Neurospora crassa OR74A: one gene and its partners. The protein of the gene in region 1 interacts with the protein of each later gene in a pairwise test. Links are inferred from orthologs where the notes say so. Each region holds a gene or a part of one and is shown in the gene's direction. Other genes may lie near its edges. The genes, in order: NCU01257, NCU09528, NCU06090, NCU00337, NCU09349, NCU08121 and NCU06217.

Region 1 (3,491 bases):
CGACACTCAGGCAACTCACCTTATCTTTCTGGACCCTTTCTCTCTTTTGTCGTTGATTCGACACCAAACACCCTTTGCGGACTGAGGACATCGCCGGCGGGAAACGATGCAGCAACTTCTCTTTGGTTCACACTCTTCGGCAAACGTCACCTGGGAGTCGGCGGACTCACACCTTCCAACCTCAACCTCTTCCATCTGCTGGGAGGGAGCTATTTCGCGACATGCTTCTCTCTTTTGTTGGGTGGGACTTGCACGGGCTTGGGTATGGCGCTTGGTTCACCACTCCTTTTTCTTTGCGCACTTTCTTGGAATTTTCTTGGATAGGACTGTAGAGGAGGGAAGTCTTCCTTTCTGTCTTGGCAGGGAGGGGGGACTCGCGGGATGAAATTTGTGGAGGGGGAGGACCATGTGGGGAGTTTTCACTGTATCTTTCTGATCTTGGTTTGCGGAGGGGAGGGATTGTGGGGGTGAGTTGGCTTGGTTGAAGGATTTGAAGAGTGTTAGTTCTTTTAATAAAAAAAAAACCCCGGTTGACACCATATCTTTGGATGCTCTCATGACCGTGACTACCTCTATGATTGTGAATTTCATTATCATCGTATGCCTCTTCGTAAGACTTTTCAGAGCAACTGACTTTAGTGATAAAGCTGTCAACTTGCAAATGGAACGCTTGATCGATCATCAAGGCAAGATACGCGGAGGAATGGCCTCGGCTCCGAGAAAATATACTACATCCCATTACATGTATCAGCTCGACGTCCCAGACATATTTCTGATCTGTTTCGGCCAGGTTAGGTTCGTGATGTTTGCGCGGGACAAGGCTCCTCCACTGAACGCGAAGTTTGATGTATCAGGAGACTCGTGTTGAATCACCTTGACACAGGCTGCGGGTAGCTTACGAGAAACTGGGCAGAGATACACAGGGCATGGTGATATACACTAGCAATCAATCTTGAGATCACCGAGAAAACGCAGTTCGGTGGGTGACCATCACCGTGACTACAGGCCCATTGTAACTCGTAACCTGAGGGTTGGGGTTTGATGTGCCAGATTCAGAGAGAGTGTGAAGGGCACTTCCAGGAGCTGGGCTGTGGATACCTCTATGCCGGGCGCCAAGCATCCACATTTGGGTCCGCCTCCGACCCACCAGGCTTATCTTATCGGGTAATGGCAGCCGCCATGTCAAAAAAAAGTTTCCAGAACTGCAAGCGCTGCCGCTTCTCGAGCTCATCATCCAAATCGATTGTACAGCAACCCCACATAATCACAATGCCGCGACAGTCCACCCGCACAAAAAAGCCGGCCACCAAGGCTCTTGAGGCTGAGAAGATCGAGAAGATTGTTGAAGAGAAGCCCCAGAAGGAGCAGAAGAAGCGTGGCAGAAAGCCCAAGCAGGTCGTCGAAGAAACCCCTGTAGAGGACAAGATGGATGTCGAGGAGGAGCAGAAGGCGGAAGAAACCACCACTCAGACCAAGGCCGACGAGAAACCAGAGCAACAGGAAGAGGCCGGTTCAGATTCTGAGGAGGGTAGTGACGACGAAGAGGACAACGATCTCGATCTTGATGCACTTGACGAATCCGATTCCGACTCAGAATTCGAGCGCGACCTGAACGAGAAGCAATCCGCCGCCGGCATCCAGGCAAACAAGTACCAGAAGGCCGCCGAGGAATCGAGCGACGAGGAGGAGGACGAGGATGAGATCGACATTGATGAGCTCGACGTCGACGGAGAAGAAGGAGAGGAAGTCAAGGCCATTTCGAGGGCGCGCCAGACAATAAACAACAAGCAAGGTCTCCTGACGGCGCTCAAGCGCTTCGCCCTCGACACAACCGACAAAGTCCCATTCGCCTTCCACCAGTCCATCGTTGCCAAGAAGGTGACGGAGGAGTCCATCCCCTCGATCGACGACGACCTGGCCCGCGAGCTGGCCTTCATGAACCAGGCGCTCGAGGCCGCCCGCGTCGGCCGCGCCCTCCTCCGCAAGGAGGGTGTCCCCTTCACCCGCCCTACCGACTACTTTGCCGAGACGCTGCGCAGCGACGAGACTATGGAGAAGGTCAAGGCCAAGCTTATCGAGGAGGCCACGGCCAAGAAGGCCTCGGCCGAGGCGCGCAAGCAGCGCGACCTCAAGAAGTTCGGCAAGCAGGTGCAGGTGGCCAAGCAACAGGAGCGTGCCAAGCAGAAGCGTGACACACTCGAAAAGATCAATCTTCTCAAGAAGAGTACGTGCCTCTCCTACCCTTCTCCTTCCCCTTCCCTTCTTAATTCCATAACAAGTTCTCTTCCTCTTCCTTCCCCTCCCCAACTTGATGATAACTGAAGCCAACTAACCTCCGCCTCCTTAAATAGAGCGCAAGGACGGCGGTGGCCCCACCGGCGCCAACGAAGCCGAAGACCTCTTTGACGTTGCCGTCGACAACGAGCTCAAGGGCGGCCCTGGCGGCAACAACAGCAAAAAGCGCGGCCGCGACGGCAAGGAGGGCGGCGGGCCCAACGCCAAGAGGCAACGGAAGGATGCCAAGTTTGGCTTCGGCGGCAAGAAGAAGTACGCCAAATCCAACGACGCCCTCTCGTCGGGCGACGTGAGCGGGTTCAGTGCGAGGAAGATGAAATCGGGCGGCCCAGCAGGCGGCAAGCCCAAGAAGTTCAAGCCTGCGCCTAGGCCTGGTAAGGCTAGGAGAAAGGCGGGGGCTGGAAAGAGGTGAAGTGAGTAAGCTTCACTGTGGCAGGAGCGAGAAGAAGCAGTGGAAGTGAAGAGCGGTGTCGATGCCATGATGGGTAATCTGTTTAGTTTCCAACCTAGTACAACAAAAGGTCAGCACGGCAGGTTGGTGACAAAGGTGGTAGTAGCGTGTATGAGTATACATCATCATGGGACCGGTCATACAACAAACATCATTGAAGGATTCAGATCAATTCAGTAGCCACTACCTTTACTTAGATACCTAAAGAGTTCTTTTCATGCCTTACAGTTTGATGGTGTTACCCGCTTGGCTCAAAGGTCCTTTTCTCATATCATTCATCTTGCAGAATGGCTATATCCGTTCACCCGAACAAACGGGTTCCTTACTTTCACCTTCATTCAAAGGCCCCCGATGTCGGCTCGTGAACAAAAACAAATCTCGGTCACTACAGTTTGTGAGAGTATCATCCTGTCACGGACGAGCCGCGCAAGGGCCATCGCTACTTTAAGACTAGGTACTTCAGATACACTAATACACGAGACATCCCCCTTTCACTCCTCGAACCCGCATGGTAAGGGGTTTGATGCGCAACACCATCGTAACGCCTGCTTGCTGCTATTCATCGAGACGAGCCTAAACCCAAACCCAGATTCAGACCCAAATAGACCTGGGAAGACCCATAACCACCAACGCCAGACATAGACCCGCCTTTCCTGAAGCTACAAGCAAATAGAAGAAAGAAACAACAACACAAAGAGCGGCTCATCCAATTCAACCCCACCGCTGTGTGGGATTAGGACGAAAA
Region 2 (3,437 bases), about 1.1 Mb from region 1:
GTAGTACGTACATAAGTACTGAGAGGTATACCTCCTCGCCGCTACCACTCCCCACATCCCGCTCGACATGTATCCAACTACCCCCTCATTTCGACTAAACCTCATGGCTAACGAAGTCTACGCCTAGACTTAACAGGAAGGTGACTATCCCAAGCATGGCCCCCCTCATCAAGTTCTGAATATCTCCATGTTGCATTGAGGTTGGATGGGGTTGAAGAAGGAGGGGGAGGTGGGTAAGATGTTGAGTTCTGCTGCGAACTATGGGCTGGGCGTTTGAAGAGAGAGGAGTTGGGGAAGAAAAAGCAAGACCTCGGTCGCTGTCTAGGTACTTGTATAGGCAAACGTCTAGAACACCATGAAAGACAATTGGCTGGCCACTACAGTACACCTATGTATGTCGAACGGCTTCCCATTCTGCGCAGTGTTCTTCCGGGCTCTGATGGGCATTGGCCGGCATGTAGCAGGGTGATGATGACCGAGGCACTTGAAATGAACATGTCAACAGTTAGGTCGCATACTACCGAATGTCTTTGGAAGTACAAGGCTGACATTTGAAGGCGGGTTGGATTTGAATAAAAAAGAAATGAAATTTCAGGCATGACCCGCGTGCCTGCGTCGAATGGATAGTGGCGGGGGCCATGGAGGGTGTTTTGGGGATGGGATGAGACGGGAATCAAGTTGCCCTACCGGAAAACTTGCAAAGTGCGTAGCTAGTTATTTAGCAATGATTACAAGTCTGTTCATATCTCCAATGGGTAATGATCATGGTGACAATGGTGAGGTGGTGACTGGCGCGGCCGCTGGCGCCTCACCAGTTGCGAGCAGAACAAGAAGCCGCGGCTATGATGGCCGTGAAAGTTAGGGTCCAATTCCGAGGAAATAGTCGTTAGGTAAGTTGCCATCATCACCCTTGGGAGAAGGATTGTTGATGAACGAACTGGTGACGGCAATAAAGGCAAGCAAGATACAAGAGGATTAGAAACGGAACCTGAGGAAGCGGTATTTATGTACGTGCTTACATACAATACACCACTTACACTACCTAGGTACACACTTACGCAGTAGGGACTGTATCTTTATTACGGCCCTCTTGCCAGCTGGCGACTGGACTGAGGGAACGTACCCAAGCTTGCCAAGTAACGAACAACCTGTAAGGTCGATAAGGGACAACAGCCCCACTATAATTCTCTTATCGGACAGGAGCCATTGCAGTTCCAGTTCAATCGAGTTCTCTGGGGTGGTTTCCCCCGAAATTTTGGTCAACTTCCGCCTTCGTTGTTGTTGTCGCCGTCATCGTTCTTTGCTGGTTTACTCCCATTTCGCCTTCTTCTTCCCAGCATCTTTTGGCAGTCGAACTCCTGTCCTTTCAGCAACACCACATAGTACCTACTTCCCGAAAACCACAGCAACAATGGGCAGAGAACTTCAGAAGCGCAAGAAGCGCTCGTCTCGCGCCAAGGTCCAGACGCATACCATCAAGAAGAAGGTCTTGAACCCCCAGGGCAGCGGCATCGTTGCCAAGGCCTGGTAAGTACCTTTCTCTTCTTTTTGTTGCCAGATATTCGAGAGGAGATTCAGTACTGACATGCAAAAATTGATGTACTACAGGAACAAGAAGGAGACCCTCTCACAAAACTACTCCCGCTTCGGTCTCGTCGCCAAGCTCGGCACCGCCGCCGGCGGCATGGCCAAGAAGTCCGCCGCCGCCAACTACGCCGGCATCACCAAGGATGATCCTTTGGCCGTCAAGTCGGCCGATCGCGGCCTGTTCGAGGTCCGCGAGGTCAAGGTCGAGCGTGACGCCTCGGGCAAGATCGTCAAGGTCCTGCGCTCGGACAACCCGCTCAACGACCCGCTCAACGAGATCGAGTCCGACTCCGAATCCGAGGAACCCAAGCCCAAGAACCCAACCCATGATATCGAATGGCACGGCATCAGCGACGACCGCCAGGAGATGATTGCCCAGAGCAGCCGGCCCGAGGTGGTCCGGATGCTCGAGGAGGAGGCGTCGCGCCCTGTGGAGAAGACGGTGCGCTACCAGAGCGAGCGCGAGCTAGAATGGCTGCAGCGACTAGTGGCTAAGCACGGCGACGATGTAGCTGCCATGGTGCGCGACATCAAGTTAAACCCGATGCAGCAGACCAAGGGCGACATTACCAAGCGGTTGAGGAAGGCTGGCTTGTTGCAGTAAAGAAGCGGACGAAGAAACGAGGGAGGGGAAGAAGGGGGCAAATTGCATGCGCGAGTGTGATGTGAACTTCATCATCACTGGAATGTGACTGCTTCTTGCAAGGGGATGTTCTTGGGATCACCGGTGAGCTCGGTTTGTGGTCTGAAGATAAGGGTAGAGATGAGGGAGCCTGGCGACAAATGCCCGGACCCATGTCCAGTCTCGTCCTGTAAGCTGGGCTACGAGAGTCGGCGGGAGGGAGAAAGAGCGACCCAACACGGCTGATCCTTCAGCCGAGATGGCTCTGCTCGACAGGTCTCGAAAGAAGAGAGCAACGGATTTTGTCTTTCTCTCTTTGTCTCTCTTTCTCTCTCAGACTGGTATAATGCCAGTTAGACTCTCCCCGCTGTCGCCTCATCATACTTCGCTTCAGGGGGCGACCCTCTCGTGGAATGGGGAACTGGCAAAGAAACAGGTGACGGAGCTACTTCGGCTCGCGCTCCCTTGCTCAACGGTAATGAGCAAAAGCAAAACGGATGATGGGACGGGAACCAGGATTTCTTGTGCAGCATACATACTATTCATTAAGGCCACGGGCGTTTTAGGCGTTTCTCAAAGTACATGAAAAGAATTAGGGCCATTGAGCCATCCACATATATCGTATCATATCTTGTTTGTCACCTAGAATCATGTTCTACGTAGATCTCCACAAATATGGGAGAGTTTAATAAGAATGACACAGATACAAAGCATTCCATGAAGCCGATATGAGAGCTTTGTGATTCATTGTTGATGCACGAAGATATCTCTCTCGTTTCTATGCATGATAAACCAACAAGGACCTGTGACGCCTCGCCAACGACACCCCATAAAACAAAGCCTACACACATACATACACAAGAAAAAGCCCAAAATGTTTCGTCTAGTGCCAGCCAGCCCCCAATAACAAAAAAAAAGAAAGCAGGTAGCCAAGACACTTTGTACATGACCTAAGCATGCTGCAGCGTATAGCTACCCGGTATTGCATCCGCTTCCAGATCCAAAGTCGATCAGTCCAGCTCATCCATATCCCTTGACTTGAATTCTCGACCCTTCTGTTTTTTTTAATCCCATTCTTACACATTCCCCCGTTCGATTCCTACTCGGCCGTAGGGCGCAGTGGGAAACCTTGCCGATGGCTCATCCTCGTAGTCCCCATCATGCACACTAGGCGGCGCGTACCTGCTGCCGCCGCCGACGGAGGATTGATAATCGTTATCGTTGTCAA
Region 3 (4,160 bases), on another chromosome or scaffold:
CTCTATCGAGGAAGCTTTTCGGAGCGTTCCGGATGCTGTATGGAGTTCGTCAAAGGCTCGTCGTCGGAGCGGAAAGGTTCAGTTTGTCGAGGAGTCACCGTCCTCTGAACCAGTGTCTCAGGAGAAGGAACAGGAAGATTTGGAAGAGCCATCTCTTCCTGCGATGCCAAGGAGTACCACCATTGATGCCAGCAGCGATGCCGAGGACGAAGTGGAAGTTCCTGGCTCATCATCGCAAGAGGCCATCACCAAGAAAAGTGTGAAATCCCAGACGCCGCTGGGCCCTCGGCTCCGGCAATTCTCGTATCAACCAGGTAAACCCGGTGCTCGCCTTGTCAATGGTCTGCCTACACCTTCCTCAACCCAAGAGAGATCTGCTGCGGTGCGTAGATCATCGTTGAATCCAAGCTCGCCCATGTTGACTCCGTTGCAACGCATGGGAGCCCGGGCATTGAAGCAAGTTACACCCCGCGCCACGCCTCCTAGCAGCCTCCGCGCACGTAAATCAAGCAAGCCGAGCGAGGCTCTCGGCTCCGTCCAGGTGGATCCCGCCGCCATTCCGTTGCCGTTGGCCGACTTTGCTGAAGTTAGAGCCCTGAACATGTCGCTTCAGGGGAGCGAGGATCAGATTATTCCTGAGAGTGATGGAGAAACCGAATTGGGCACGGCAGCCACTCGTCCGCGACTTAACTTGGCGCAGTACCTGTATTCGTGAGCCCCCAACTCGTGCTCTCTGGAGTGTATTAGGAGAAGCCAGATATGTGGTGTGCATAGCTCTCGGCGTATCGGTAAGGAAGAAACCCCGCCTGGAAAATGGGTGGGCTTGAATTGTACTATGGTCTGTTGTAAGGAAACGAGGAAAGATCATGGGTCAGGAGTATTATCAGGCAAAGAAGGCAATCATGGAAAGAGCAGGCTGAAGTAAATGAGGAGAACTTCTATTGCCTGTTATGCGATAACATTGCCCTGATGGGCCATTCATTGATGGCCTTTGTCCAGAAGGTAGCTATATCACTTTAGTAGGAAATAAACAAACAATGGTAACCATGATGAAGGAACACTGTTGCACCTGTCAAGACACTGTCAGGAGACATGTCACCATCAGATCCAAACATAAATCCTATAGGTATACTATACACGAGGTAGACGGGAGCGTGCTAGAATAGGCAAGTATCCCTCTAACCGCGATAAGATCGATGAGTAGGTGCCAGGGCAGTTCACCGCCTTTGGCAGAATGCCAGAACCCCAAGCGTGAAAGTGTGGGGCAAGGTGCTGGGGGGCTCCACACTGCTGGGAACAATCCACTAAAATTTCACTGTAATCCACTGGCGAACAAAAATTCATCGAGACGGGAAACAGTCGCTCGACCACAGCCGACCCGCCCTCCACTGTCTCAATTTTTCCATCTGGGTTTCGTTTCGATACCTCGACATACTACCTCGACCATTATTCCGCCCGCTCGACATCACTCACAACCCCATCACAGCGAAATCCCGGATTCGACTTTCTTTGTCGCCTCAATCACCTAGGTCTCTCTATTTTAGCGACTGGCAATCAACCAGGTCGACTCGTACAAGCGAAAACCAGCGTGTGCAAAGATGGCGGATACCGATTTGCAGGTAAGCAGACCGGCGCTGGAATGCACACCACCGATACGGTGATACCCATGGGCTGGTAGTTGTGGCCAAACTGGGATGGCTAGAGTTCGACGCTGACCATGCCGTCTTGCGATTGCGAACAGGAGCGCCTGCGTTCTCACGCTCAGGCCTTTGACGGTCTACTGTCGCTGATCCCAGCCAAGATGTACTACGGCGAGGACAATAGTGTACGTTACCCCCACCCGTTGACTTAGCTCTTCATCATAAACTCAACCATTGATGTTGGTGTCAAAATGCCTTCGATCGCGTCGCTGATCCCAAGTAACCCCGCCAACAGGATCAGTGGAAGAAGAAGAAGCAAACCAAGGAGCAGGCAAAAGCTGCTAAGCGGGGGAAGCTCGATCCCGACAGTGAACTCAACCGCAACGCCAAGGAGGTCATGGAGGAGCGCGCCCGCAACAAGCGCAAGCTCCAGGAAATGGAGGAGAGCAGCACTGAAGACAGCGACATCGACGTCGAAATCCCTGGTGTTGAGAAGGAGAAGCCTCTTGAAGGACTGAAGAAGAGGGTCGTCAAAGACGACGCCGAGACAGAAGAGTCTGCGCCTAAAAAGCAGAAGCTTTCCGAGGAGGAGGAGGAGGTGGTGGAGGAGGAGGCCGTCCCCGCTGAGAAGCCCTTGAGCAAGAAGGAGCAAGAAAAGGAGGCCAAGCGTCTCGCAAAGCTGGCCAAGCAGGAGAAGAAGAAGGCCAAGCTCGAGGCGAAACTAGGCAAGGGTGGAAAGACGGAAAAGAAGGACGACACCGCCGAAGAAGCCAAGCCTTCTACCGAAGCTAACGAGGACGACGAGAACGACGATATGGCTCCCATTGATGTGTCTGGTCTCGTAACAAAGGAGGATGAGGGCGAGTCCCAGGAATCCGCTCAATCTTCTGTTTTCGACAGTCGCGACAAGGCCGGTTCCGCCGAGCCTGCCAGCGCCAACACCTCGATCTCTTCCGCCGTTCCCCCATCGGATAAGCCCAAGTTCAAGCTTCCCGCCGATACCACGGTTCTCCGCGAGCGTCTCGCCGCCAAGATTGAGCAACTCCGTGCCGCTCGCAAGGTTGAGAAGGACGACGAGGGTAAGCCCATTCGCACTAGGCAGGAACTCATCGAGATGCGCCGCGAGAAGGAGGCCAAGCGCAAGGCCCACAAGCGCGAGCAGAGACAGAAGCAGAAGGAGGAGGAGGATCGGAAGCGGTCAGAGGCTATTGCCAGCTCGCGCAACTCTCCCCTAAGCATGCTCAGCCCCAAGGACGATGTTGAAACCAACTTTGCTTTCGGACGTCTCGCCTTCTCTGATGGTGTTCAGCTTTCTCGTGACGCCGCCTTTGTCAAGTCCGACGGAACCAAGAAGAAGGGCCCCACGGACGCCAAGTCCAAGCTTGCCAAGCTTGAGGCGCAGAAGAAGCGCCTCGAGGCCTTGCCTGAAGATAAGCGCAAGGAAGTCCTTGAGAAGGAGACGTGGCTCGCTGCTCGCAAGCGTGCCGAGGGCGAGAAGGTTCACGACGACGAGCACCTGCTCAAGAAGGCTGTCAAGCGCAAGGAGAAGGCAAAGAGCAAGAGCGCCAATGAGTGGAGAGAGCGCAAGGAGGGCGTCGCCAAGGCCCAGTACGATAGGTCAAAGAAGCGCGAGGAGAACATCAAGAAGAAGCAGGACGAGAAGAAGGCCCGCAAGATGGGCATCAAGGTCAAGAGCGGCAAGGGCGGTAAGGGTGGAGGAAAAGGTGCTTCCAAGGGTAAGAGCAGGCCTGGATTCGAGGGCGGATTCGGTGGTAAGAAGAAATAAGCGTCGGATAAGGTGTTCAGCAAGGGGTGTTTTGTCTTTTTGGAGAGAGATGTTGATACCACTGCTGCTGCATAGCGGCAGATGCTCGGGAGGCTGGCATATCCTTTTCCCATTCTTCTGCCTTGTCGCTACGTACATATTTCTTGCTGGAAGGGGGTAACAGGTGGTGTTTTTGGCGTTTGTTTTTTTTCCTCATGGTTTTTCGTTTCTTTTTTCTTTGCACGGTCGGAATGGAAAAAGAGATTATATCACACGTACATATCACAACTGGACCAGATCACGACAAGCGGTTAACATGGTACGAGGCTGGGCAAGCCTTGTCTTTTGTTCTTTTATACTTAGCTAGCTTTTAGTAGTGGTGGCGAAGGGAGGAGGTAGGGGCTGGAGGTCCCCCTTCTTCTTCAGCGAGGCAGCATCTTCAGGGAGTTAAAAAGTGATTATCAGCTCACCGAGTCTTTTCTCTTTTTTTGTCCGGTGACTTGAATTGGTGATGTGAGACGCATAGCTTCCCTTTCTTGCTTGTCTGATACCGAGGCGCTCTCCGGTGTAGGCGTTAAATTCCAGCTGTGAAATGAGGTGCTGTTAGTGCTGGGTGGTCGGACTCTACTTTATTCGCAATCAAAGCACTAACACGGCGCCTGGAAGCCGACATAATTCTAGGTGATGCTACACGATTTTATCATGATCGGAGCAACCCGTGTTCCGTTCCACAAGGGAAGCTTGGAAGGGGTTAA
Region 4 (4,203 bases), on another chromosome or scaffold:
CTTGGCAGCCAGAATCGTCACAACCATGTAGCTGGCAATCTGGAGACCGGGAGAGCTCTTCATGACCATGGCATCGCTGAGGACCGGGCCAAGCTGCTGCATGAGAGCGTTGTCGTTCTCGATCTGGATGCTTCTCCTGCCGGAACGGTACTTGTCGAGCAGACCGTTGGTGGCTTCAACCATGACACCACCCCAGAAGGAGATGAGGCCAGGGTATTCCATCTGGTACTTGCAAGAGTCAAGAGTGTACTGGGAGATGGCGGTAAGCAGCTCGGGGCGGTTCGTCGCTTGCTGAACAATGGCGGCGCGAGGGGGCGCGGTCAGAGAGCGGATGTAGGGGTCGAGGAAGCGGTACTCCTTGGGGATGTTGGCGGGCAGGATGGACAACAAGGTCACAAAGGCCGGGATGGTATGGTATGGGAGGAAGGTCGCGATGAGAGCAGCCGTGTTGAACTCATGAACGCGGAACCGGCGGATCAACCACTCGATGGCCTTGATGGTGGGCATGAGACGCAACCTGCTGCCGCACAGGTGGAGGAAGGCCTCGACATGCTTATCGAGGGCGGCATTCTCAGCGGCGCTCATCTGTGTCCTGTCGGCCTCCTGGCTTTGTGGGCTCCATAGCGACTGGGTGAACTTGGTGAAGCGCGAATCAAGGTTGCACAGCTCCTCAAAGCCTTCGAGGCATATCGAGTAGATCTCGGGGTATGTCTGGGTAGCGGCAACGCGGGGCTCGAAGATCAGGGACTTGGAGTGGGCGGCCTTGAGGACCTTGGTGTTGAGGGTCGACCGCGAGTTGGCAGCGATCTGGGCCAACTGGGAGGCCAAAGACGACATGGTTGGGTGTTGGTTTCTACGATTCGGCTTTATGGTTATCGTATGGTACTATCGTCAAGGAGAGTCGACGTCGATATTTCGATCGCGTCGCAAAGTGGGAATTCGATCGGCCTTTCGGCGCGTGGTGGGAGACGGGGAAGAGTGCAGTCTCGATTGTGTATCGTGGGGTAGAGACTGGGATTACGGGAGGTTGGATGTGTGTACAGTGGTCGAGAAAGAGATTAGGTGCCGCGGTCTCTCTTTGCTGCGACGAGGTTGATGTTTTCGGAGAGTGCCCCGTCGGTGGGTTCCTATTTGGATGGATGGAAGGAAAGGGAATTCAAACTTGGAGGAGGAGGTGCGGCCACTCGAAGCTCCAGCGCAAGCAACTGAACTCGACCGCAAAACTCAAAGTGCAGTCAATCGATGGCCGTTCATGGTTCAGCAACTTTTTTTTCCCCAAGCGGTGGGGTCCGATAAGAAAGCTAAACCAACCACATCCCGCCGATAAGACCCCCAGCTTTGGCAGCCAGGGTCCAAAAAGTTTGGAAAATGTTCCTGAGCGGTTCCTCATCTCAGTGAAGAACAAACAATCGATACCCATCCATCTCCACTCCAGAACACCGCTCGCTCCCGTCTCACTTCAGTCTGTCTTCAGCACACATCGATCAGCCGCCCACACTCAGTGTTTCAGGTTCACTTCACATCATCTCACAACCCTCCAACTGCACAGACCATCACCAGCCACCACCATGTCTTCCCATCCTTCCAAGCGGAGGAAGCTGACCGAGGGAGGCCAGTCCTCGGACGGCGCAGCAACCAGCGACGTCAAAATTCAAAAGCAGTTCTTCAAGAGTGCACAGAGCTGGAACCTCGAGGAGGACTATGAGAACCGCCCCAGGAAAGGAAAGAAGAAGAAGGAGAAGAAGGTCGCCGATGCCACGAAACTGCCCATCAGAGTTGCCGAGGGAACCTGGGTGACGCAGGAAGAGGAAGACGCCGAGATTGCGAGCGATGCCGAGTGGTTGGAGAGTGAAGGGGAGGAGGCCCCTGAGGAGGAGGAGGCTCAGCCCGAGCCAGAAGCACCCAAGATTCCCGAGCGTGAACAGATCAGGAGAGCCCAGGAGGAAATGGCCAAGATCGCAACGCAGCTCAATGAAGACCCAGAGGAGCATCCGGGTGCTTTCAAGGCGCTCGCCAAGATTGGAGAGTCGGACCTTCTCGCCATCAAGAAGCTCGCCATTGTTGTCCAGATGACCGTCTACAAGGATGTCATTCCCGGCTACAGGATAAGACCGGCTTCGGAGGATGTTGCCAAAGAGAAGCTGTCCAAGGATGTCAAGCGGCTACGCGTCTATGAACAGGCCATGGTGACCGGCTACTACCAATACATCAAGACCCTTGCTGCCCTCGCCGGTGGATCGATTCGCGACAAGTCCAAGCAGCCCATTTCCAGCATCGCCCTTACCTGCGCCTGCACCCTTTTGAACGCAGTACCGCACTTCAACTTCCGCGGTGAGCTTCTCAAGATTCTCATCAAGAAGCTGAGCTACAGAAATATCGATAAAGACTTTATCAAGTGCCGGACCGCTCTCGAGACCCTGTTTCACGAGGATGAGGATGGTCAACCCGCCATGGAGGCCATTTCAGTACTCACAAAGATGATGAAGGCTCGTAACTACCAGGTTGACGAGAGCATCCTGAACCTGTTCCTCCACCTGCGTTTGCTTAGCGAGTTTTCCGGAAAAGCTTCCAGAGACACGGTGGAGAAGCAGGACGATGGGTCGGTCAAGAAGCCGAAGCAGAAGAAGGAGTTCCGCACCAAGCGTGAGCGCAAGCTTCTTAAGGAGCAGAAGGAGGCTGAAAAGGTCATGGCCCACGCCGACGCAGCTGTGAGCTACGAGGAGCGAGAGCGGATGCAGTCCGAAACGCTCAAGATGGTTTTCGCCTCGTACTTCCGCATCCTCAAGATGCGTATTCCCAACCTCATGGGTGCCTGTCTTGAAGGTCTCGCCAGATACTCCCACCTGATTAACCAGGACTTTTTTGGTGATCTCCTTGAGGCCCTAAAAGACCTGATCCGCTACAGTGAAAAGGACGCCAACAAGGAGGACGAGTCGGACGACGAGAACAAGGAAGAGGAAGAGGATGAAGACGACGAGCACGAATTCGTTCGTGACACCAGCCGCGAAGCCCTCCTCTGCACCGTCACCGCCTTTGCTCTTCTCGAGGGCCAAGACGCCCATAACGCCCGCTCGGACCTTCACCTCGATCTCTCCTTCTTCATCACCCACCTCTTCCAGTCCCTCCTCTCTCTCTCCGTTAACCCGGATCTTGAACTCGGCGCCCAGTCGCTCCAGCTCCAAAACAGCGTGCGCCGCAACAACCGCATCAATTTGCAGACCACCACCGTCCTGCTCGTCAAGTGTCTCAGCGGCATCCTCTTGCCGCCCTGGAACATCCGCTCCGTGGCGCCGCTCCGTCTGGCCGCCTTCACGAAGCAGCTCATGTCCGGATCGCTCCAGGTGCCGGAGAAGTCAGCCCAGGCGCTTCTCGGCTTGCTCGCCGACGTGCTCCACACGCACGGCAGGAAGATCAGCTCGCTCTGGAATACGGAGGAGAGGAAGGGCGACGGCACTTATAAGCCACTTGCGGCGACAGTGGAGGGTAGCAACCCATTCGCGTCGACGGTGTGGGAGGGCGAGCTGTTGAGGAGACATTACTGCCCCAAGGTGAGGGAGAGTGTGAAGGAACTGGAGAAGAGCATCAAAAGTATCAAATAGCTGGTGAAAGGGTGATGTCGGAAGGGATTGTCTTGTTATGTCTACGAGACTCTAGGTGTAGGTTGTTGGAGAGTATACACGTTAGCTTTGGCATAGAATTATTATTGTTGAAACGATTCTGGATATCTACGAGTTTATGGCTGTGAAAGTGATTTCAATGGCGGCTGGCAGACACAAAGCCACCACCATACCAACGGGTACTTTTGTCGACCAAACCCATCATGATCACAGTGGAATGTGGTATTACTTCAGTTTCTTTGGAGATCTAAAAGCAGGCGGTCGCATTTGTTATGTGATAACACTTGGAGAATGAGCCTCCTCCACTGCACCTTCCCAAGACATTTCCAACTTTCAGTTGGCCATCAGCTGTTTTCCCTCCTCGACCTCCATTCAGCCGACCATCCTGACCTTTGCATCATTTTTCTTTTCTTTTCATCTTTTCTATTTTCTGCTCTAGCTCTGTCTCACCGAGTCGGGTCAGACTTGCCGAACCATGGCGGCTGTACATTAAACCGAGGCATGTCCGTAGCTTCCCCTCAGCCTCATGCGAGTTTAATTGGTGAGGTGAAAAATCTTTTGCTGTCTGATGACGATCGTCATATCG
Region 5 (4,012 bases), on another chromosome or scaffold:
CCAAATTACCAGCCCGATCGGCTTGAGCCGTGTCTACGCCTCCTGGGGCACCACTTGGCAGCAGAAAGACGGGGAAGTGAGATACAGAGTGTATCGAGATTTAACATAAACGTGGTTTCGATTCAAGAACCAGAAGTTCTTGTCCGATTTTATTTTATGGGATGCCTTCTGGATTGTTTCCGTGATGTCTGTCCGTGGTGTTGAGCGAGTGGTGTTGAAGAATAGGGCCATGGGACCAGATTATATCATGAACATCAACTTCCGTGCTGATACCTCCCATTGGAACCATTCTCAGCCTCAGATCGTGGAAAGATGCGACCCAAGGCAGCAGTGAGCCAAAGACCGAACCACACTTGTGACTCGGTCAACTCCATGGAAAATGATCATGTTTTCATGTAATAAAGGTGTTGTTACTTCCGACGTGACCAAGATAGCATCCCGTCAGCCTTGAGAGAATATGAAGGATTCCGAAGGGGTTCATGAAACTTCACTTCAGCCAATGTAATGATGCGAGGATATTGATCTGCCATGTGTACTGTTATGTATCGACCCAGGGGCCTCTCGGCGAGTGACACTTCCAACCCAGGGACCTGGATTCGAAGCTGACTGGTACGTTCCAATCTTGCGCCCTGTATCCCGCAGACGGGGTAAGTTTCCAGCTGCCCCGAATTATCGATTATCGATCAAGGCAACCCGTAGCCTGACTATGGACTTGTGTCAAGGCCTTCGAAGTCGTCCGCTGGACGGGAACTGCAAAGTCCACCAGGCTATTGACTGGTCTGTCTCAATCCACTAAACCTTTGGAATAGAAATGTAACATAAGAAGAATACTGCAATGCCAGGATCTCAGAGGTACTGTACAGCGTTTGAATATCCGCAGTGTAAAGCAATGCCACCATGGACGACATCCAGAGCCTAATTCCGTGAGAGGGACAACGAACATGAAAGACCGACTACACGCGGTTACGTTGAGTATATCATGTCTATGACAGACTGGAGTAATTGCAGGAGAGGTGAAAGCGTTGTGATAATAAACGAATATCAGAGAAGAAAACAACATAATGCGGATTTGAAGATAAGAGGAAATGGACAAGTTCAGTTCTCGACTCTCGCAAGCAATTGGGGGCACAATTGGCGGGTTCCGGGGTTCGGCTGATCTGCAGTCAAAAGTGGGGTCAACACTGGGACGGCTGTAGCGCACAGACCAGGTTTTCATCAGGAGAAGAGGGCAGAATTGGCAAAATTTTCACCGCCTGGTGTAATCCCTGGTTATCGAACAAGCGATAAGAAAAAAATCCCCAGCGAAAGAGAAGGCAGAGGAAGGATAACAGATTCGACTCGCTGGGAATTTGAACGGAACCATTGCGACGCCCTTTTCCCAGAGTATCGCAACCACCCACCGACAGTACCAACCCCCCCACGCCATCACGATGGCTTCCGAATTTAGCAAGAAGCGCAAGCTCAAGGACGCCAAGATTGCGACCGAAGATGGCGCCGCCACCGACAAGAAGACCAAGAAGGTGAAGAAGGACAAGAAGGAGAAGAAGGCCGCCGAAGAGGTCGTCGAGGACGCCACCCCCGAGGAGGAGAACGATGCCCAAAAGGCGGAGGAACAACAAGATGGCGACGAGGTCATCCCCACCGGCAACGGGGACAAGGAGGACAGCGACGACAAGGACGCTGAGGCCGGCGACGAACTCACAAAGACCAACGACTCCCTCATCGCCCCGTCCATCGCGACCAATGCCACCGACTTCTCCGAGCTCAACCTGTCCGACAAGACCATGAAGGCCATTGCCGAAATGGGCTTCACCAAGATGACCGAGATCCAGAGGAGAGGTATCCCGCCTCTGCTCGCCGGCAAGGACGTCCTCGGTGCGGCCAAGACCGGTTCCGGCAAGACCCTCGCCTTCCTCATTCCCGCTATCGAGATGCTCAGCTCCCTGCGCTTCAAGCCGAGAAACGGTACCGGTGCCATTGTCGTCACTCCTACCCGCGAATTGGCTCTCCAGATCTTCGGCGTCGCCCGCGAGCTCATGAAGAACCACTCCCAAACATACGGTGTCGTCATCGGCGGTGCCAACCGTCGTGCTGAGGCCGAGAAGCTGGGCAAGGGCGTCAACCTGCTCATTGCTACTCCCGGTCGTCTGCTCGATCACCTGCAAAACACTCCCTTTGTGTTCAAGAACATGCGATCGCTCATCATCGACGAGGCCGACCGTATTCTCGAGATTGGTTTCGAGGACGAAATGCGCCAGATCATCAAGATCCTGCCCAAGGAGGACCGTCAGACCATGCTCTTCTCCGCCACACAAACCACCAAGGTTGAGGATCTCGCCCGTATCTCGCTCCGTCCCGGTCCTCTTTACGTCAACGTCGATGAGGAGAAGCAGTTCAGCACGGTCGAGGGTCTGGACCAAGGCTACGTTGTCGTCGACGCCGACAAGCGCTTCCTGCTCCTCTTCTCTTTCCTCAAGAAGATGCAGAAGAAGAAGGTCATTGTCTTCTTCTCGTCCTGCAACTCGGTCAAGTACTACTCCGAACTTCTCCAGTACATCGATCTTCAGGTTCTCGATCTCCACGGCAAGCAGAAGCAGCAGAAGCGCACAAACACCTTTTTCGAATTCTGCAACGCCAAGCAGGGCACCCTCATCTGCACGGACGTTGCCGCCCGTGGTCTCGACATCCCCGCCGTTGATTGGATCGTCCAGTTCGATCCTCCTGATGACCCGCGCGACTACATTCACCGCGTCGGTCGTACCGCCCGTGGTAACAACACCAAGGGCCGTTCGCTGCTCTTCCTCCAGCCCAACGAGTTGGGTTTCCTCGCCCATCTCAAGGCCGCCAAGGTCCCCGTTGTGGAATACGACTTCCCCAAGAGCAAGATCCTCAACGTTCAGTCCCAGCTGGAGAAGCTGATCGGCCAGAACTACTACCTTAACCAGAGCGCCAAGGACGGTTACAGGTCGTATCTCCACGCCTATGCTTCGCACAGTTTGCGGTCGGTGTTTGATATCCATAAGCTTGACTTGGTTAAGGTGGCCAAGGTATGTTTTCTCTTCTCTCCCTTTTTCTTCCCCAACACCAGAACAGTCACTAACGTACTACAAAAACAGTCCTTCGGCTTCTCCACCCCTCCCAGGGTAGACATCACCCTGGCCTCCAGCATGTCGCGTGACAAGAAGCAGACGAGCAGGAGAGCGTATGGTAGCCAGCCGAAGCAGAACCGTCACTAAGCGAGGCGGGATTCGGTGTTCGTGTTGTTGTTGTTGTTGGTTAGAATACGAAAAGGGGATGATGATTTGTCAATGTTCTCTCTTAGATATCCATCGGGCATTCGGTGTGGAGCATAGTGGGTGTTTTCTTTTGTGTTGCTACTTTGCTGTTTACTTGTTGTTGTTTGCGCAAGCTGCCAAGGCGTTTTTGGTTGAAAAGTAAAACTGGAGGGCTTCAAATCAACAATTAATTTTTACTTTACGTTGCTGCTCCGTTGGTGTGGTATTTCTGATGCTGTGCCGTTCGGTCATCTCGGGTGTCTTTCCATGTGAGGATGGAACATATTATCATGCTGACAGTTTCATTTGATAAATGGTAAGAAAGACCTTGAACAAACCACATCATATCTATTTTGCTACGCAATTGGAAAGATCGTGATGTTGATATGGCTGATGGAAAGCATGGAGGTCCTGAGTGTCACTCTCTATCAAGGATCCTTTGTAGGGATTCATAATCAATACCCAAATTAGGTAGCTGACAACCGGTACCAACTCAACACTAACCTCCAACAACAAAGCATGAAACAACCCACTGATGACAGTCTACTATTTCAGAACGACCTACATCGATACCTATTCTATCTGCAGCCCCAATCGACCCCCCGAACCTGAACTACATAACAGACGGAAACTCCCCGACACAAACCAACCTAACAACTTTACCAAATTTCACCTCGTCCCCAATATCCTCCCCTTCCCCTTTCCCAATATCCTCTCCTTTCCCTTCCCATCACTTC
Region 6 (3,227 bases), on another chromosome or scaffold:
CCGTCGAGCGAGAACAGGATGGGCGGGCGGCCGGGCACGTTCTCGGCGTTGAGTTCGCGCCAGAGAGCCTGGAAGACGGTCCAGGCGCCGTCGGCCTCCTTGGCGCTGTTGATGAGCTGCAGCAGGGGCGAGTTGACGGGGATGATTTGCGGGAGGTCGGCGTGCGAGTAGACCGTGTTCATGCGCGATAGGACCTTTTCGTTGGCGCGCTTGAAGGATTGCAGGAGCTTGAGCGTGTAGGTGGGTTGTGTCCAGAGCGGCGAGTTTTCAATGGGGGCGTATTCGGTCACGGCCGTGGTTAGTTCTTGGGCTGTTTTTCACGTTACAAAGTCAGTATGTCAGTTATGGAGTTTGAATGGTAGGGAAAGAACAAATAGGAAAGAGACCTACCCTCGGGAATGTGCAACACCACCCAGTCGTTCATAAACGCATGCGTCATGGCCTGCAGCAGCAGCAAGCTCTTGCCCGTTACCCTGTTGCCCTCAATGACCATGCGGATCGTCTTGCCGTCGGCACCAGCCGCCTTCATCTTCTTGGTCAGGTCGACCGTCTCCTGGCGGATGAGCACCGAGGGCTGGCGGAAGATGCCCCAGCACTGCGTGGGCTTGAAGGCCTCCATGGCGCGCAGGGCGTCGACCACATCCTCGGGCAGGGCCTTGACGGAGCCGACATTGTCCTGTTTGGCCAGGTCGTTGGGGCGCAGGGTCTCGAGGCCGGGCACGGGCAGGGCATTGTTGTTGCTGAGCACAATCTTCTTGCGGTAGGCCTTGCGCTCGCCGGGCAGAGGCGGCTTGCCCGAGGATACCACGTTCTTCTTCTTGGTCTTCTTGAAGCGCAGCTTCTGGGGGCGGTTGGCGTTCTGTCGGCCTCCCGTGTTGGCGGAGGAGGCGCCCTTGGTGGCGGCGGTCGCTGTGAAGGTGAGGCTGCCACCACCGACCTGGAGCATCTGGCGGGGGACCAGGGCCACGGCCGAGGGGCGCACGAGGCACCTCAGGCAGTTGGACGCCGACATGTGTGCGGGCGGGTGGTCGGCCGGTCAGACGGTCGGTCGATCGGACTGCTGTGGGTGGTGTGTGGTGTGGTTGAAACACAGCTGAGAGCCCGTGGAAAACTACCCCGGGCAAATAATATCGTCGCAAGTCAACACAACAAACCGGGACGGGGACGGGGACCTGTGATGCCCGGGCACACGGCAAGCGGAGCGGGAGCGGGCGCGCGTTGGAAAGTTCGCAAGCTCGGACCAACTCGACCTACTTGGCGACCAGTGCCTCCAAATTCCCCGGCGCCAAGAAGTCGGTGGTTTGCCTGTTTGGGGTCTTCCAGCCAATGAGAACATCAGATTGCAATTGGCAGCGGTCCCGCACCATCTCCAAGCTCGCATCTGCCGCCTGTTACCGCCTAAATTTTCAGTAGATCCAGAACCAGCAGCACCTCTCCCGTCCTCCCAGAGAATGTGATCCCCAGTTCTGCCAACTGAACGACAAAAAAGATACCCCAAGTCACCTGTTTGTTTCCATCACCATCAACATCACCAAGGCAGCCTAACGGAATCCCACACGGCGCGCCGATAACAACCACCAACTACCTATTCATCAACCTAAACCAAACCATTCAATCAACCCGCCGCGCCCATCAGAACCAAAAAAACACCATCAAAATGTCCGACGCAACAACCACCACCACCACCACCAAACTCCCCGTCACAGTCGACAAACCCACCCCCTACACCTTCGACCTCGGCCTCCTCCTCGCCAACGACCCCAACCCCCTCCTTCTCGACCGCTCCTCCGCACTCGAACCCCAACTCGCCTCCATCGCCCGCGACGGCTGCCAATCCCTCATCAACCAACTCCTCACGGCCTGCCCCATCAGTTCCACCCCGGCGGGTGTCTTACTGTCCCTCCCGCCTCCTCAAACCCCTCTCCCGCGCGAGAAACCCGTGCCGACGCCCAAGGCCGAGACGAAATGGAGCCAGTTCGCCAAGCGCCGCGGCATCAAGCCCAAGACGCGCGAGCAGCGCCGTAACCTGCAGTATGACGAGACGACGGGCGAGTTCGGCCGCAAGTGGGGATACAAGGGCGCCAACAAGGCGGGCGAGGATGCGCCGATTATTGAGGTCAAGAAGAGCCAGGAGGAGAAGCGGATGGCGGAGGGGAAGAGTGTGAGGGGGGATAAGAGACGGGAGATTAGAGAGCGGGTGAAGAGGAATGAGCGGAAGATGAGGGCGAATGAGCGGAGGGAGAGTGGGAGGAAGAAGTGAGCGCCCTGTTTTATGGGGTGCTTGAGCAGTAGGGGTACTGGATTTCAAGAGATGGAGATGAAGAGGAAGGCGTGTGGATGGAAACATGCAAAGAAGGGAGGGAGGCCATCAAGATGAGTAACTGAAAGTGAAGTGAAGTGAGTTGATGTTGACCCGTGTATCAGCATCAGCATCAACATCAGCATCAGCATCAGCATCAGCAGGCCTCCCTTCCCTCAGCAGAGGCTATACAAGAAGGCAAGACACAAGACAGAAGACAAGAGGTCTCGTTGTTCCTTTACCTTATCTACTAGGCATTTTGGGCCTGGGCATTTCGGGCGTTCAAGGTCGTTTATATACTTAGTTACTGTACTACTGGGAGGTTTCTATTACATTACAAAGACAAAGTTATCAGATTCAAGTCGCCTTTTTTCTTTTTACCACAGACTACAACGAGATCACCCGAACTGGCGTTAATGGCTGTATCCTCATCAAAAAAAAAAAAAAAAAAAAAAAAAAAAAAAAAAAAGGCATCATCAGTAAACAAACCTTTTGAAAAGTTCCTAAACCTCTTTTTCACATGAAGCTTGCATTCGTAATTCCATTCCTGTCAGGTGTTCATCGTATGTGTTTAGGCTCAACAGAAACGCTCATGGGTCCCTTGGTAATAAGTCTGCTTCTTTCTTCTTCTTTTCTCTCATCTGTTATAATCACTTTCATTTTTCGTTCTTTTTGGTTGTTGTCATTTCTTCTTCTTCTTCTTCTTCTTCTTCTTCTTCTTCTTCTTCTTCTTCTTCTTCTTCTTCTTCTTCTTCTTCTTCTTCTTCTTCTTCTTCTTCTTCTTCTTCTTCTTCTTCTTCTTCTTCTTCTTCTTCTTCTTCTTCTTCTTCTTCTTCTTCTTCTTCTTCTTCTTCTTCTTCTTCTTCTTCTTCTTCTTCTTCTTCTTCTTCTTCTTCTTCTTCTTCTTTTCTCCTTGTTTTTCTTCTTT
Region 7 (4,035 bases), on another chromosome or scaffold:
ATCGTCGCTATCGTCGGAATTCGGTTCGCCCTCGAACTGGTTGCCAGCCAAGCGTCCAAGACCCAGCACAGCCTGTGCCCGGACCATGGCCTCCTTGTCGCGAATCCTCCTAAGTAGACTTGACCGTAGCTTCTGGAAGAGGTCGTCGTCAATCGCGTCGAGGGAGTTGATGATATGAGATATGAGTTGCGTTGACCGATAGCGCACAAACTTGTCCTTGGCGATCATCAAGGGAAGAACGGTTTCCATCAAGTGTCCGGTAAGCCGGGTGCTGGGTGTCTCGGGCATGGTGCTGGCGTCCGGGTCGGCCTCGCCGAGAATTTCGTTATCCTTCTCGACGGCATGCCGCAGGAACAGACCGATGAAGCGCACCGTCTTCTCGCCGACTCCCTCGCTCTTCTTGATGGGCATGACGCGCAGGACACAGCGTACAAACTCCTTGTTGAAGTCATCTTCCTCGAACTCGTCGGCCTCGGCGGGCTTCTTCGTACTCGTCGGCTCGTAGCAGCATGCTTCTTGTATCTTGCGCAGGGTCACGGCCAGCTTGCGATGGGATGCCGTGGTCTTTTGGGCGTCGCCGAAGACGGTCGCGACTTGTGTGCGTAGCGCATTGTCGGGAGTATCCAAGGGTGCTTCTGGTACGACCGAGGTCTGGCGCGCCCCGCGTGTCGCTCTCGTCGATCTGCCCGGCGCCATGGTCGGCAATGACTGTTGGTATTAGCGGGGCCTGCACAGCGGCAGTCCTCTATTTGTATGCGATATGGAAAAGGTACAAGTAATCCAAGCCCAAGATATAAGAAAACAAGCAAAAAAAAAAGACGGATGTGAGGTTTCGTAGGATGGCTTTTGCAACTGAGCAGGAGCCGGGGATGAATGAAAGTGACACTATTCGCGAATGAAGGTTGTTTTGTTTACTTTGCACTGCAGGTGGGCTGCTGTGAATTTCCTGGCGGCCCCGTCGTCACCTAGCGGGAGGGACTGTCTGACCTGCTGCAGAGGGGTCGCGCTGCTCGCTGCGCTGTATGTCGCAAAACGTATCGACCCTGCTGGTGAGCTTGAATGGTCTGTGCGCCCCGCCTTTCCTTTGGTGTGGATTGTGGAAGCGCGCGAAGAGAGGAAGTGGAAGAGACGGGCTCAGGATCCCGCTGCCAAGCTTGAGGGAAACGATAAGCTCCCTTGTACGCTCTTATCGGGACTCCACTTCGAATATTTTTCTTTGGGCGAAGGGTCCAGAACTGTTGTCGCTGGGGGAAGCTGTGCACTCGGCGATTCCCATCCACCATTTGCGCCTTGAGAGGGTCTGTTCTCTTCACTTTTGGTTTGATTTGGCTGCTTTCTCATCTCTCCCCTTCTTTCAACAACAACACCACCTAACAAACACATAACATAACAACCCGATTGCTTGCAATAATGGGCAAGGACGGGAACAAGAAGCGCCAACGCGAGGTGGACGAGGAGATCCCAGTTGATCCCGATGCCATCAAGGATTCCGATGTTGCTGCACAGAACCCCCCAAGCAAGAAAGCTAGAGTTGAATCCAACCGCTCTCTCTTCATCCGACAGCTGCCTCCAAGTGCCACCGCCGAGTCTCTGACCGAGTTCTTCTCCCAACATTTCCCTGTGAAGCATGCCACCGTCGTCCTCGATCCCAAGACCAAGACCTCGCGCGGCTATGGTTTCGTCACCTTCACCGATCCCGAGGATACCCTCGAGGCCAAGGCCAAGCTCAACAACTACCTGCTTGAAGGGAAGCGCCTGAAGCTCGACATTGCCGAAGCCAGACACCGTGATGCCAAGAAGACCGGACCCGTTGTGTCCAAGGTCGCCGAGGAGAAGCAGAAACGTGCCGAAGCCGTCGCCGAGGCCCAGAAACCCAACAAACTCATCATCCGCAACCTGCCATGGAGCATCAAGAAGCCTGAGCAGTTGGCCGAGCTATTCAAGCCATATGGTAAGGTCAGGTTCGCCGACTTGCCCAACGATAAGGGCAAGCTCTCTGGTTTCGGTTTCGTCACCCTCCGTGGTCGCAAGAATGCCGAAAAGGCTATCGAGGCCGTCAATGGCATGGAGGTCGATGGCCGCCCATTGGCCGTCGACTGGGCCGTGGATAAGCAGACATGGGCCCAGCAGAACGGCGAAAAGTCAGACGACAAGAAGGAGAAAAAGGACAAGAAGGTTAAGGAACCCAAGGACAAGAAGACAGAGGAGGAGGAGACTGCTGGCATGACACAGGAGGAAAAGGATCTTTACAACTTCTTCAAGAGCCAAGGCGAGAACCTCGAGAGTGAAGACGAGGAGGACGAAGACAAGGACAAGGAGGACGAGGATGAAGACGATGAGGACAAGGACGAAGATGATATCGAGGAGGACGAGGAGGACGAGGAGGATGAGGAGGAGGAACAGAAGCCCAAGCGGCTAACCGACAACTCTCTAACACTCTTCATTCGCAACCTACCATACACCACCACCGATGAGCAGCTGAAGGCGCACTTTACCCAGTTCGGCGGCATCAGATACGCCCGAGTTGTCAAGGACAAGGCCACCGACAGGCCAGCCGGTACCGGTTTCGTGTGCTTTTTCAACGAGGAGGAGATGAAGGCCTGCCTCAAGGGCGCCCCCCGCCATCAACCTACCACCACACTCGTCAAGCACTCCATCCTTCAAGACGAGACCGTCGATCCGGAGGGCAAGTACACGCTCGACGGGCGCATCCTTCAAGTCGCCCACGCCGTCTCCAAGGACGAAGCCGAGCGTCTCGCGGAGGCCTCGGCCGGTAAGAAGGACAAGGACAAGAGACGCCTGTACCTCCTGAACGAGGGCCAAATCACACCCTCGTCTACGCTCTTCAAGGTCCTTACCCCGGCCGAAATCAAGATGCGCGAAGCGTCGGCCAACCAGCGCAAGAAGCTGATCCAGTCCAACCCGTCGCTGCACCTGTCGCTCACCCGTCTCGCGCTGCGCAACCTGCCGCGCAACATCGGGTCCAAGGAGCTCAAGGCGCTCGCGCGCCAGGCCGTCGTCGGCTTCGCCAAGGACGTCAAGGAAGGCAAGCGCGCGCCCATCTCCAAGGAAGAAAACTCGCGCGGTGGTGAGCAAGACAAGGAGAACGAGCGCCTCCGGAAGCTCAAGGGCAAGGGTGTCGTCAAGCAGGCCAAGATCGTGTTCGAGACGACCACGGGCACCAAGGTGGACGAAAAGGTCGGTGGCGGCAAGTCGCGTGGCTACGGCTTTATCGAGTACTCGTCGCACCGCTGGGCGCTCATGGGCCTGCGCTACCTGAACGGGTTTGCCGTCAAGAACGAGCTGGGCAAGACGCAAAGGCTGATTGTCGAGTTCGCGATCGAGAACGCGAACGTGGTGCAGCGGAGGAGACAGGATGAGGAGAAGCAAAGGACGATGACGCCCGCGGAAAGGAAGGCGGAGATGGAGGAAAAGAAGAGATCCAAGGAGGCCAAGGAGGCATACAAGGCTGGAAGGAAGGCGGATAGGAAGAAGGGCGCTAAGCCTGAGAAGCCTGCTGGGTGGAACAAGGGCAAGGATAAGAAGGGCCCGGCTGAGGTGGCCAAGGCCGCAGGCGCCGCCCCGGCGAAGGAGGTGAAGGCTGAAGATATCAAGGTGGATAAGAAGGGCAAGAAGAGTGAGATGGTCAAGGAGGCCCTCATGACCAAGATCCTGGCGAGAAAGAGGCAACAGAGGAAAAAGAAGGCTAACATTAGGGGCAAGAAATAAGCCTGGGCTCTTGGAGTTTACCTAATGTAGGGAGAGAGTGTGTGTTTTTCTGCTGCTGGCCCGGAATGTTAAACCATTTATGTTATTCTTAGGGCCTTTCCTGTTTGCTATCTAAGTATACCTTTATCACGATCAAAAGCAATCCCTTAGCGTTTTCCAACACCTCTCAGTCTATTTCCGCCGTGGACACTCGTGAACTCTTTCGCTGGCAGTTCTTAACCAAGACAACGCTCAATAATATTGTACGCCCTCTACATGCTATTATTATATAATAGAACGCCTGTTTGCCTGCTTTGTTTTTCTCGC

The links.
Region 2: the proteins of NCU01257 (region 1) and NCU09528 interact in binary tests that used the Saccharomyces cerevisiae proteins (3 or more experiments, as listed by UniProt). The link is inferred for Neurospora crassa OR74A from reciprocal best matches to the Saccharomyces cerevisiae genes EBP2 and NOP16.
Region 3: the proteins of NCU01257 (region 1) and NCU06090 interact in binary tests that used the Saccharomyces cerevisiae proteins (3 or more experiments, as listed by UniProt). The link is inferred for Neurospora crassa OR74A from reciprocal best matches to the Saccharomyces cerevisiae genes EBP2 and RRP14.
Region 4: the proteins of NCU01257 (region 1) and NCU00337 interact in binary tests that used the Saccharomyces cerevisiae proteins (3 or more experiments, as listed by UniProt). The link is inferred for Neurospora crassa OR74A from reciprocal best matches to the Saccharomyces cerevisiae genes EBP2 and NOC3.
Region 5: the proteins of NCU01257 (region 1) and NCU09349 interact in binary tests that used the Saccharomyces cerevisiae proteins (3 or more experiments, as listed by UniProt). The link is inferred for Neurospora crassa OR74A from reciprocal best matches to the Saccharomyces cerevisiae genes EBP2 and HAS1.
Region 6: the proteins of NCU01257 (region 1) and NCU08121 interact in binary tests that used the Saccharomyces cerevisiae proteins (3 or more experiments, as listed by UniProt). The link is inferred for Neurospora crassa OR74A from reciprocal best matches to the Saccharomyces cerevisiae genes EBP2 and RRS1.
Region 7: the proteins of NCU01257 (region 1) and NCU06217 interact in binary tests that used the Saccharomyces cerevisiae proteins (3 or more experiments, as listed by UniProt). The link is inferred for Neurospora crassa OR74A from reciprocal best matches to the Saccharomyces cerevisiae genes EBP2 and NOP4.

The regions. Positions count from the first base shown.
Region 1 is NC_026505.1:3,393,320-3,396,810, reverse strand, and holds NCU01257 (hypothetical protein), read left to right. Parts: upstream 1-1,213; 5' UTR 1,214-1,269; coding exon 1,270-2,224; intron 2,225-2,351; coding exon 2,352-2,707; 3' UTR 2,708-2,991; downstream 2,992-3,491. UniProt on the Saccharomyces cerevisiae protein: Required for the processing of the 27S pre-rRNA. Probably involved in the step of the processing of the 27 SA precursor into the 27 SB intermediate.
Region 2 is NC_026505.1:4,474,525-4,477,961, reverse strand, and holds NCU09528 (nucleolar protein 16), read left to right. Parts: upstream 1-1,242; 5' UTR 1,243-1,411; coding exon 1,412-1,527; intron 1,528-1,608; coding exon 1,609-2,191; 3' UTR 2,192-2,937; downstream 2,938-3,437. Other genes in the region: NCU09527 (hypothetical protein), read right to left, coding at 3,286-3,437. UniProt on the Saccharomyces cerevisiae protein: Involved in the biogenesis of the 60S ribosomal subunit.
Region 3 is NC_026507.1:1,847,947-1,852,106, reverse strand, and holds NCU06090 (hypothetical protein), read left to right. Parts: upstream 1-1,360; 5' UTR 1,361-1,598; coding exon 1,599-1,619; intron 1,620-1,741; coding exon 1,742-1,825; intron 1,826-1,935; coding exon 1,936-3,426; 3' UTR 3,427-3,879; downstream 3,880-4,160. Other genes in the region: NCU06089 (exonuclease), read left to right, coding at 1-715. UniProt on the Saccharomyces cerevisiae protein: Involved in ribosome biogenesis and cell polarity. Required for the synthesis of both 40S and 60S ribosomal subunits and may also play some direct role in correct positioning of the mitotic spindle during mitosis.
Region 4 is NC_026503.1:3,495,407-3,499,609, forward strand, and holds NCU00337 (nuclear export protein Noc3), read left to right. Parts: upstream 1-1,403; 5' UTR 1,404-1,568; coding exon 1,569-3,599; 3' UTR 3,600-3,729; downstream 3,730-4,203. Other genes in the region: NCU00336 (U3 small nucleolar RNA-associated protein 10), read right to left, coding at 1-837. UniProt on the Saccharomyces cerevisiae protein: Required for synthesis of 60S ribosomal subunits and the transport of pre-ribosomes from the nucleoplasm to the cytoplasm. Also required for initiation of DNA replication.
Region 5 is NC_026502.1:4,196,597-4,200,608, forward strand, and holds NCU09349 (ATP-dependent RNA helicase has-1), read left to right. Parts: upstream 1-1,287; 5' UTR 1,288-1,430; coding exon 1,431-3,047; intron 3,048-3,116; coding exon 3,117-3,236; 3' UTR 3,237-3,512; downstream 3,513-4,012. UniProt on the Saccharomyces cerevisiae protein: ATP-dependent RNA helicase involved in 40S ribosomal subunit biogenesis. Required for the processing and cleavage of 35S pre-rRNA at sites A0, A1, and A2, leading to mature 18S rRNA.
Region 6 is NC_026501.1:344,305-347,531, forward strand, and holds NCU08121 (ribosome biogenesis protein), read left to right. Parts: upstream 1-1,463; 5' UTR 1,464-1,657; coding exon 1,658-2,260; 3' UTR 2,261-2,727; downstream 2,728-3,227. Other genes in the region: NCU08120 (mitochondrial ribosomal protein DAP3), read right to left, coding at 1-310, 391-1,012. UniProt on the Saccharomyces cerevisiae protein: Required for ribosome biogenesis.
Region 7 is NC_026503.1:1,936,258-1,940,292, forward strand, and holds NCU06217 (nucleolar protein 4), read left to right. Parts: upstream 1-1,235; 5' UTR 1,236-1,410; coding exon 1,411-3,729; 3' UTR 3,730-3,893; downstream 3,894-4,035. Other genes in the region: NCU06216 (nuclear condensin complex subunit 3), read right to left, coding at 1-696. UniProt on the Saccharomyces cerevisiae protein: Required for 60S ribosomal subunit synthesis. Probably involved in the processing of 27S rRNA to produce mature 25S rRNA.